Linked DNA regions of Coturnix japonica. The protein of the gene in region 2 binds, or shares a complex with, the protein of the main gene of each other region. Links are inferred from orthologs where the notes say so. Each region holds a gene or a part of one and is shown on either strand. Other genes may lie near its edges.

The links. The genes of interacting proteins can lie anywhere in the genome.
Region 1: the proteins of ITGAV (region 2) and ITGB8 are in contact, whole or in part, in a cryo-EM structure (PDB 8TCF), measured with the Homo sapiens proteins. The link is inferred for Coturnix japonica from reciprocal best matches to the Homo sapiens genes ITGAV and ITGB8. Residues at the interface, in NP_002201.2 of Homo sapiens: Tyr48, Phe51, Trp123, Leu141, His143, Gln150, Glu151, Arg152, Pro154, Phe184, Gln186, Phe189, Pro204, Trp209, Asp249, Tyr251, Tyr254, Arg275, Arg278, Thr279, Gln301, Met302, Ala303, Tyr305, Phe308, Pro328, Leu329, Met331, Ser335, Asp336; in NP_002205.1 of Homo sapiens: Ser197, Pro198, Ile202, His203, Pro204, Arg206, Ile250, Asp251, Thr252, Pro253, Thr287, Ser288, His289, Leu290, Ala291, Leu292, Asp293, Lys295, Leu296, Gly298, Val300, Pro302, Glu321, Ser324, Leu325, Gly326, Gln327, Glu330, His349, Trp350.

Annotation. Positions count from the first base shown.
Region 1 is NC_029517.1:27,579,856-27,585,642, forward strand, and holds the start of ITGB8 (integrin beta-8), read left to right. Parts: upstream 1-1,871; 5' UTR 1,872-1,942; coding exon 1,943-2,072; intron 2,073-5,787. UniProt on the Homo sapiens protein: Integrin alpha-V:beta-8 (ITGAV:ITGB8) is a receptor for fibronectin. It recognizes the sequence R-G-D in its ligands.
Region 2 is NC_029522.1:5,342,428-5,347,679, forward strand, and holds part of ITGAV (integrin alpha-V), read right to left. Parts: intron 4,776-5,252; coding exon 4,714-4,775; intron 3,102-4,713; coding exon 3,056-3,101; intron 1,739-3,055; coding exon 1,613-1,738; intron 337-1,612; coding exon 292-336; intron 121-291; coding exon 77-120; intron 1-76.

The DNA of each region.
Region 1 (5,787 bases), on a different chromosome or scaffold from region 2:
GTATTCTTCCTCCTAACAACACTATTTAGCCTCTGCAAGCAAAAATCCCTAAGTTTTCTTTCTGCAACTTTTGCTTCTGCTTGGATTTTTAAGACACTTCCTTGAATTTCTCTCTCGTCTTGGTTCCTTTCCAGATGCATTTGAATCAACATGAATTTTCAACATGATGAGATGGGATTTAGATAGCATAGCGCTGAACAGAAGTAAATTGAGTTTAGTTTGCCTGTCACAAATGTACCTCATTTCAAAGAACAGCATCTCGTGGGACAAGTTGCTCATCACCAAATAGTATCTAAAAATTGTAATCTGGGAAATCACGGAGCTTTTAGATCAGGATCACATTTGAAGTCGTGTGACCATCCCTGTGTGTGGTTTTTATTTTCTCAGAGATGATAACCCCAGTGGGGTCGGGCAACTTGAATTAATGACATTCCAAATTAATGTCTAAAATTAAGGATTTCTCCAAAACGAGGCAGAAGAATGAAACAGCATTCAAAAATGCCAGGAGTGGGACCACAGGAGTGCTCCGTTGTCATCTCTTCCACAGAGACCTTGAAGAAACCCAGTGCACCTTCACTTTCTGACCTTTGATGTGCCTGTGATAAACTGCCTTTATCTCAGTGCTGCGAGGCTTAGCACTGGGCCTCAAAACACTGTGATGGCCTTTTATTTGTAAGAACTGTGAGACTGCGTGGCTGCACGTGAATGATTTATTAACATTGTTATTACCCTGGATGCCTCCCCCGGATATTACTTAACATTGCGCACGCTCTGACATCTCTTCAGAAGCACCATAAATGAAGTGAGGCCACAGTGATAGCTATGGCTGGCTCTGCACTCGGGGCTTGTAAATCAGCCACAGCCCCAAAGGGTGACAGAGGAGGCACTGCCACCTGCCTGCACACCGCCCATAGCCCGGGCAGCAGAGCCCAGAGAAGAACGCGATGTCACTGCTGATGGGCCGCTCGCACCTATGCTCGGCGGGGCTTTCCTGACCCGCACACGGCGAGGTACTTTCCGTGCCTCTTAACCTTTGCGTTACTCCCACTTCGCCCCGTGGGGCGGAAACTCCGAACAGAAATCGGGGAGGACGAGATGAGCGACTAAGGGGAGGCCGAGGGGCCGTTCCCGAGCCGCGGGCTGAGGGCTCCCCGCCGGCAGGAGCGCAGCCCCCCGCTCCCGGCCTGCGCCCGCCTCCCCGCGGCGGCGGCTCGACTACGGCCGACGGAGCCGCGGCCGAACAAAGCGGCGCGGCCGCAGTGACTTCAGCGCCCCGCCTCCGCCCGCCCCCACTCCGAACCTGCCCCGCTGCCGTCTCCTAGCAACGAGGGGACCCGCGCTCCCGACGCGCACCGACGGCGCCCCGAGCTGCGGCAGGGCGGCACCGGCCACCGCCGCTCCCCCGCCCCGCGGCGGGTGCTGACGGCGGCTCCGGTCGGGGCTGGGGACGGCGGCGGGCGGCGGCCACCTGGAGGGGGGAGCGCAGCGGGGGCGGGCGGGGGGCGGGCGTTTCCTTGAGGGAGGTGCGGGGCGGGCGGCCGCGCTCCCGCCGCTCGGCCCCGCGCTGCGCCCGGTGCCTCCTCCCCGCGGCCGGACGGAGCGGGCGACCGGGAGCCTGTTGCGCGCCGGGCTGGAGGCAGATGGAGGCGGCCGCTCTCCGCGTACGCCCGAGGCCCTGCAGCCGCCGCTGCTGCTGGGAGGGAGCCGCCCTCGGCGGGGTGCGGGGGCGCGGCGGGCGCTGCCCCTGAGATGCTGCGCTCCGCGCCCGCCCCGCCGCCTCCCCGCGCCCTACCTGTGCCGGGCCCGCCGCCGCCGCCGCCCCTCCCCCGGCCCCGCCGCCGCCGCCGCCGCCGCCCCCGCGGGGGCCGGGACTGAGCGCGCCGCGCCGCCGAGCCGCGGCCCCGAGGAGAGGGCGAGGGAGCGGCAGCGGGATCGGCGCCGCATGATGTGGGTGCCGCTGCTGGCGTGCCTCACCGCGGGGATCGTCTCCGTGCCCAAGTGCCAGCGCGGCCCCGGGGCTCTCCTCGGGGCGGTCCGGCTGCTAGCGGCCGTGCCCGGACTCTGCCAGCGCCGTAAGTTGCCGAACTGTTCGCCGTGCCCTGCCCGAGCGGGACGGCCGCTGCGGGGCCGAGGGGATGGCCGGGCGGCTACGGGCAGGTGGGGCGGTGGGTACCTACGGAGGGGTATGGGAGGGCCGGATCGGAGCTCGCGTCCGGCTCTGCCGGAGCTACCGGCACGGCACGGCTGCGGGGAGCCGGGAGGTGGAGGGGCTGCGGCCCCGGGGCTGGTAGGTGATACGATAAGCGCTCGGTTTGACAGCGAGGACTAAACATAGGCATGAAGTTCAGGGATACTGTTTTCCTCTACCTGCTCCAATCGGGGCGCGCTGACAGCCCGCTGGCACCAGCGGTGCTGTTGGCTGTGGAGCTCAGGTAAGAGTGGGGGACGCTTCGAGTTGCGGGCGGGCTTCTCAAAGCTCTGCCGTCAGATTAGGCCGAGGATCCTGTGCAGACGCACCTCTTGTGTCAGACAGCTCTCAGGTTAGTCCCGTGTTTCTCCAAGGATCCGGCTCCACCAGCAGGGACCAAGAGGCAGATCAAGTCCCCAGCCACCTTCCCTTTCTTTCCTTTCCCTTTGTGGACTAAGTGCATATTCCGTGCTTAAGCCTGGATTTAATTTAAAATATTAACTTGTAACCTTTAAAAATAAGATTTGTAATGGGAACAATGCATTAGTCTTAAGTTCCTCCCTACATATGTGACAAATTCATGCCTAATTCAGTGGGATTTGCCCAGTGCTTTTAAAAACAATGGAATAATTTGTTGAGTTTTACAGAATAATTTATTTTGCTCTTTTGGCTTCATAGTTAGAGCTCAAAACCAAAATAAATGTCAATAGGAAAAAATAAAATATAATATTATTAAATGTCTTATGAAACATGACAGCTTTATCCAGCATTCCAGATTCTTTTCTATGCAGTGTAATTGAGTTTGAAGACTAATTGAAACTTTATGGAGAGGAGAGCTCTGTGCCTTAGTGCACAGTCTGGTCTGCTTGCTCCTGGGTGCACAATAATGCAAATAAGGATGAGAACAGCACGGCATAGGTGAAGACTGTGGGGGGGCTTTTGCTCCACAAGATGCTTGCTTCCTTTATTGTGCTTGACAGTGAAAATGCACATGGGTGGTAAGTTGTGGGATACTTGTTTATTGTGACAACAGCTTCCATGTCCGGCAGTCTGCAAGCTCTGATAGATCTTGCTCTCTTCCCCTGTATTTGAAACTACTGCTAATCTGTGAAAGCTGAAAGTTGCACTGAATTCTTCCTTTCCTCCTTAATCACTTTATGGTCTAACCAAGAAGAGCATTTTGTTTTTCCTCGAGTGAACACATAAATGGTAGAGGTTTGGAGGCTTGTTGTTATTTTTTAATGTATTGCCTTGTCTGTTCATTTTGCTTTTGGCTGCGTTAGCTCTCTGCACCAGCACAGCACCACCTGAATTCCTTGAACTTCTGCAGGCTGCTGTTAGCAAAGCGCTGGGCAGCGGCTCCATGTACAACTATTTGGCAGCACAGCTTCGTTGAAGCAGCCACTACTCCGTGCTTCTGCCTTGACAGCACTGGGCATGGAGAAGAGCATCGCACTGTTCCCATGCCATCAGAGACTTCAGATTATTTATGTGCACATTTGGCAGAATTTCTTGCACCAAATCTCCAGTTCTAAAAGGAACTGGAATGAATATGAAACATTCATGGAACTGAAATGTATTCATTCTTGTTGAAGCTTTTCTTAGTCTTCTAATTGAAAAATGTACAGTTTAATGCTACCTGAAGTGCTTGTTCTGCAAAGTACAGTTTGAGATGTGAGTTCCTGCTTGGGTGTAAGTAAAGACGGAGCATGGCCCCCAGTTTGCTGCTAAGAGGAGTGCAGAAGAAAATCTCCCAACACTATAAATTGCAAGTCCCAAATTAAAGGTTCTGTAAGCTCAGATAAAAGGTTAGTGTTGTTCCCTTCCACAAAGAGTCCCTTGTTCACTAAGTCTTACCGAAGGGAATTTACAGTTCACTAAGCCAACTAAAACAAGTACCTGACATAAGAATGGAACTAATTCAAAACTAAATTTGTGTTATAGTGATTTACACAGATCTCGTATTTATGATGGAACACTGAAAACTGACGAAATCCTAAAGAACTAAACCAGCGAAGTGAATAGAAGCTGAATTCTACAGTGAGAGCACGTGTGTGCATTGTGTTAATCGGTTGTATAACTACTCCACTTACGTGCAGACAGAGTCTGCTCACTTGGCTCTTTCCAAAGCTAACCTCATGCAAGTCTTGCATCTGCTGTATTAACATATAGAGCGCACAGGGCTAAAATGATGTAGAATGACTGATTAGTCCAGGTTAACAGAGGACATTGATTAAAATCCCAGCATAATCTAAGAAAAAAAAAAAAAAAAAAAAAAAGCAGTTTTTACATACATTGAAACTTTAATACTAAGATGCTTGGTGCTTTCAAAACTATCTGGATTAGTTATTCCTCCATGAAACTCAAGTAAGCAGAGCTTACATGTGATGTGCACTCTGAGGTTGGATGGCATGACGATCTTTAGCCTCGATTAAAGAACTGAAGAACAGTCACATGACAGTTCTTTTGCACAGTCATGGTTGACGAATCTCATGACATTTGAAGGTTGGCATTTTAAGTCTTCTTTATAGTATCTTTTGGAAAGACCAGATGGGGTTTTGGGGGAAGCAGAAGATCTGTGATGATAGCAGAGACAACTGTTAATTGATTTATCCAAATAGGATGACATCTGTTGCCAAACATAATCCACTGCTGTTCTCTTATCTTGTTCTTTGGTAGTTTGCCAGCCTTGACACATCAGATTCTCATGTGTACTCCTTCTAGATATAAAGTTTCATTAATCATTACTGTATCACTTCTCAATGGAGTAGAAAAAGCCATTCAAACCACACATGAAAGAACTGTTTCTGAGGAGGTGGTTAGGAAATGTCTCCCTCCATCCTCTCCCCTCCCCCCCCTCACTCCCCCAATCAAACAAACAAACAATCTGAAATAAACTGTAAGTCTTGGTAGCTTTAACTATGTGTCTGTCTGTTGATTTTTGTGCCTATTTCTATTTAGGGCCCCAGTGAAAGCTTTATTGTATGGGGTATTCAGCTTTGAGACAGTTCTGATTTTCCTAAGTCTTAAAGCAATCCAAGGAGAAGAGAAAACCCATTTTAAATTTCCTGAGCCTGTGTAGGTGATCTGCTCCCTAAGGTTATAAGATCATTTTTGGCAGTAGATTACGCTCCTGATGAATAGTAAGGAAGAGGTTTACTTACCTGCATGTTGCCTAAGGAATATATTATGCCAATTATGCATAAATTTACTTTGTAGTTTGCACAGTTCTCACCACTTGTTGCAAATTCATACATGTCTCTGTTTTGTTTGTTTGTTTGTTTGTTTTGCAGTAGTTATTTTATGTTTTTTGCAAGTTGAATGAAATGGTGGTTGCACATCTACCATTTACAGTGTTTCTGTGCTACAGATGCTTGAGATGGTGTGATTGTGGGAAAAGAAAGGAGGTGGACAGTTTACTAAGTTTACTAGAGGAGCAATAAGTATACTTTTGGTGTACCAGGAAGGTAGGGTTATTATGTAATTCTGGACACATTATTGCTGAAGAAAGTAGGGAAGGCAGCTTGAAGACTGCATGCAGCAGGAATACTGCTCATAGCAATTTGAAGAGGTGGTAGCTTCTTTTGTCCTTGAGCTTT
Region 2 (5,252 bases):
GTAAGAAAATACACATTATGGGAAAGCAACAAATTTAATCTTCTCATTTGCTACATAAATATTAAAAGCATCCTACCATGCCTAGAGTTCTTGCTGCTCTTGGGACTCCTGACACAAAATCTGCAATACAAAACAAGACACCCATATAACATCCAGTTCCAAAGCATAATGTCTTCACTTAAACAGGGTAGCTCATTCCTTTGCATTATATCATTTGTTCTACACCCCTTTTTCCCAAGTTTTGCCCGGTGTATCACTATATATTTTTTTTAACAGAAAGAAGAATCTTACCCTCTATGCCATCACCACTGAAGTCTCCGACAGCCACAGAATAACCTGATTAAAAGAAAAAAAAAAAAAAAAAAGGGAGACTTCAGCCACGTAACTGTGCCATTTTACTTTAAATGCAAAGACCTTAAGAGACTTTAAATACCACTCTGATTAACACAAAGCTTCTCTTTGAATGTCACATTCTTTATTCTCCACCTACCACGCTATGAGTTGCTGGTTCAGTTCAGATTCAGAGAAAAAGTACTAGCAATGTTATTCACAGAAAAACAGCGTATTTGCCAATACTGATCTCCTCTCCAACTAAGATATTTTGTAACAGGTAACCCAGAGATTACACAAACAGCTGGCCATTTGCAACTGGAGATTGTGCGATGACACACCCATCTACATACATCCGTGCCGATCTTTATTAGAAGCATAATGAATTTTTCTGCATTGCGATAACTTTCCTCCTTACTATCTAGTATGTAAATTATAGTCACTTCTGCATGCAAAAACAAGAACATCAATTTTAATCCCTTTCTCTCTGCAAATGCATTAAGAATATAAATGGATTTACAGAGATTGTTTGAAGGAACCAAAAAAAGATGGGGGCTTGCTCATCACTAAACCCATAATGACTGCAGACACAAGCAATAGTTGGTTGAAAGCTAAAACAAGCTTAAAACTTAATGAGCAAGAAAAAGCACGAACCCTAGATACTGCAGTTTTCCATATGGTTACTCCTATTCTAGGAAAACTTAATCTACATACCTGAAATAGTTATCGAAAGAAATTACATACAAGGAAGATGAGCGTTCTAACATTAACTGGGTATTTTAGAACCAGTGCCTAGACAACGTCCATATGCAACCTGCCTATTTTTCTAAACCCAGTTAGGCATGCATAAAGCTTAATGATAACTTTTTACTTGTCAAAAGCTATCTTTTACTTAGCTTTCTTTCCAAACATGATTCTATCCCAATTTATTTTTGTTTTGGTATGCTATTTAGAAACAACTGCTTTTGTAAAATAAACAGCTATGTAAGTAACTTGTCAGGTAAAGATCATCCCTGATAAGTTATCTGAGGCCTAAGTTACAGGGCACCAAAACAAATGGAAATAGACCGATTCACTTTGTCATCAGCTGGTTTCTGAGTCAAGATAATAGCAAGATAACTAAGCTTCTTTCAAATATGAATTACAGCATTTTCAGCTCTTTTTCTGACTGCCAAATTTTAAATTAAAACCGTGGTCTATACTTGAATAGAAAAAACACAAATAGCACAAGAGGTTTTCTATTTAAGAACAACAAGTTTTACTTCCCATTCCAGTTACATACCCAAGTAGCTGTCATCAAAAGCAGCACTAGCAGGTCGGGTTGCTAACTGGTCATCATATTTTGTACTGTAGACTTTGGAGTCATATTTAGCCACAATCTCAGTCACTCGATCAGAAATGAGTTGGCCTAAAAACAAAGAAAACGGCTTAAAACACATGTGCACACCCTGAGTAAACAAGACAAATTTATGCGATGCTTATGAAGCAATAGCTCTTCCTTAATACTAATCAGAGAACAGCCAACACTAGATAGCAGCACTAGACAACAGCAGCAGCACTAGATAGGAGAATTTAGCTTACTACAGTTGTTTACTGCTATGCTACTAACAAGCTAGTGCTTTACTGCCTTCCTCCTGTTCTCATTTCACTAGCCACTAGATGGTGACTTGATCACATCGCTTTCTTGGAGTTTAAAATTACACTATATTGCAAAACATTTTGTTCCAGGAGAGCACTGACTTCATATACACATTCCCCAGGTATGCATGCAGTGCAGGGACAACTCCTCTTCCTTCACCTCTGAAAGTGGGGGGAAAAAAACAGTTTATACAAGTACACTATTGCTATCATCTATTCAGAGCTGAGATTGTCATTTCATATTAACAGAAGAGATTAAATAGTTTTAACAGATGAATTAGCAGCTTGGCCAGAAAGCAATAAGGTGAATATAGGAACATAATCTATATTCTGTCTGCAGCTGAATGTCAATCATTTCATTTTGTTTGGACTTTATAACACAGATCTAGAAAAAAGCCTCCTGTGATGCCAAGTCTACACATAGCCTGGCATTACACAAAAAGTTTTTAATAAATGCTGTTATGTACATTAAAATAAAAGAAACAGATGGTGGAAATTCTGTTCTGATTCTAACAACCATCTTCTGAACTGAGGGCTATAGGTAAACACCGTATGAACCTGCAAACAAGTGCTCACTGAAGCCCACATAAACAAAACACATAGGTGGTGTTCCCTGGAAACAAATCACCGCAGTTATGACTCGTACCACAGTGCAAACAGACTATTGCAAATAAATACATTATATCTTTGCCTTCAAGGGAAAATAACAATAGTTCTTCGTAAAGTACATTACTCGTGGAAAATGCATGCTTGATATTTGTGTGAGGAAAAAACCAAAACCTATAAATTTTAAAAAAAGCAGCAAAAAACCAAAGAATGCTTCTCCTGGGAACACTACTTACGTGATCCCATTAAAAAATACTTAAAGTTACCACACAGCTATTTAAAAGACAAAATTCATCTAATCAGTTATTATTTCAGCTTCAATCTGTTGCCTTGATAACTCCGGAATTATTTTGAACGAAGTCAGTAAACAGTTTCTGTTAGCTGTCTTACTGACAAAGACTTGGACAGCAGTTGCAGGAGGGTGGATACAGAGAAAATTAAAAAGGTCATCCTATTCTGTAACTTCAACAGTGTATCTTACCTTGCCAGTAAAAACTGCCAGGTCCTCCAAGCAAGACTCTGTCTCCCTTGTGGGGGGGGGGGAAAGAGGGAGGGGGGAATAATATTCAAACAAATTAATTCTTAAGACTGAATGAACATATCCCATATTCATGGGATCCAAATAACCACATGAAAATAAACTGTAAATAAACCATGTGTAAATAAACAGTAGCTAGACTGCCCCCTCCCCCCCTTAGATTTTTTGAAGGAGCAATTGATTAATCCTAATAAAGAATGTATGTACTGTAGAAAACTAAGGTAAACCACAACATCAGTTACTTGCTTCATTATATCATCCATCTAAAATTAACAGCATAACTTAGCTTTTTGCTGTAGTAGAACTTTATATCCACAAAAGGGAACAGAAATACACGTAGGATAGAGTATAAAGACTGCTGAAAACCAATAATACAGTTTCTGGCCAGTACACAAAACTAGACTCATCTTCTCCCCCTCCTCTTTCTATTACTTTTTGTTAGAAAAACACAATTCAGAAAACCTATGATGTAATTCCCTCAATCCATAATCCTTTGTAGAACTGCAATCCACAAATCATTTCATGCAACTTGAACCATATTAGCTATCTCAGTGCTGGGAATTAGTTCCCTAAGTACTTCACTCAATTGAGTCATTTGCTTCACCACCTAACTAAGCCACTTATTCTCATTCTACTCAAAAAACTCCAATATTCACCACTCAGAGCAAACTAGGTCAGAGATTTGGAGATACCAGTCTTGCCAACTCAGCTAGGGAGGTGGACTGGAGCCCAGCATTTGTTTTAAAAATGGCTAGAGTCTGCACAGTAGTCCTGAAGGACACAGGCCAAATAACAGAAACACTTCTGGGCCAGTATTACTCTTTCCACAGTCTGTGGAATAACAAGGGTGTGCTCAGGCAAAGTACAAAGGGATACTACACAGTTGTAAGGTGTGAAAAACCCAGCAGATGACCACATCACAAATGGGTATTAACAGGCCGAGATAATACTAAACAACTTAACTGATAAAACCATGATGATAAAAATATAACTGTAGATAGTTCTGAGATTGACGCACAGTTCTATTGTGAGTGGACTTGAGAAATTATTGCTAATTAAAATATAGAGATATTACACCATAGAAAAAAAATATAAGAAAAACAGCAACAAAAGGAAGCCCATTTCTCCTAGTCACTGAGACAAAACTCCACTCTAAGAGCACTGTCTACCGGTTCCCTTCTGCAGTAATTTACTTTTCCTCAACAAGTAGCATTAGCCGTGCACTAGTCCTTCCAGTAAAAAAGCGTATAACTGCATTTACCTGAGTACTGCTGCAGCAGGGCCTTATAGTATGAGACTGGAAAACTGGGTTGTTTATTTTTGACATGACTCCTAGAAGTCATGTCAAAAGTACACTTAGAAGTGCTAAGTGTACTGTTGTGAAGGTGTAGGGAGAAACATATTTATGCTACTGGAATGGTTTAAACGGATTGTTCTTAGTTTACAAGGAGTTCATTGTTTTCTTTCTCTCCCCTTCCTGCCCAGGAATGGTGGTTTACATGAAGTTTCATAACGTCTGTGCTTGCAGACAGACTTAATCACAGCGGTAGTTAAACTGGAAGTGTCTGCTGACTAACAGGAACTAAGTAACAATCACATACCTTTGTAAAGTCAATACTAAATCCACCTTGACAGAATCCTTGCCCATCTGCATCAATAGTGGCTAAGGAATAGATAGAAAAGGGGGGGAAAAAAAAAAAAAAAAAAAAAAAAAGAAAAATCTTAGTTTAGTCTTAAATTAATTAATCTTAATTTAACTTAATTAAACTTGGTTAATCTTAAATTATCAGGAAGAAAGGTTGCTAGTTTAATTCAAGAAATCGTGGAAAATATGTAAGAAAGTTTGCTTCTTTTAAGGAAAAAAAAATCTGCTATGTAAATAACCATAGAATATTTGAAGTATTGCCTTAAAAGAACTAGCACACATCTGGTTGAAAAAATCCCCATGTATTGAGACTCATCCACGCCTAGCTTAATCTTATGACCATTTAGCTGCATAACAGAAATGGGGGGAGATATGAACCTAGGAGTGTGACTAACTCACGTTCATACATTCTTATTTAATGCCTTTGTTAGACCACAATGGATTTCAATCCAGCTGCTCACCAGTGACTTGGAAAAAAAATAAAAACTGCAACAA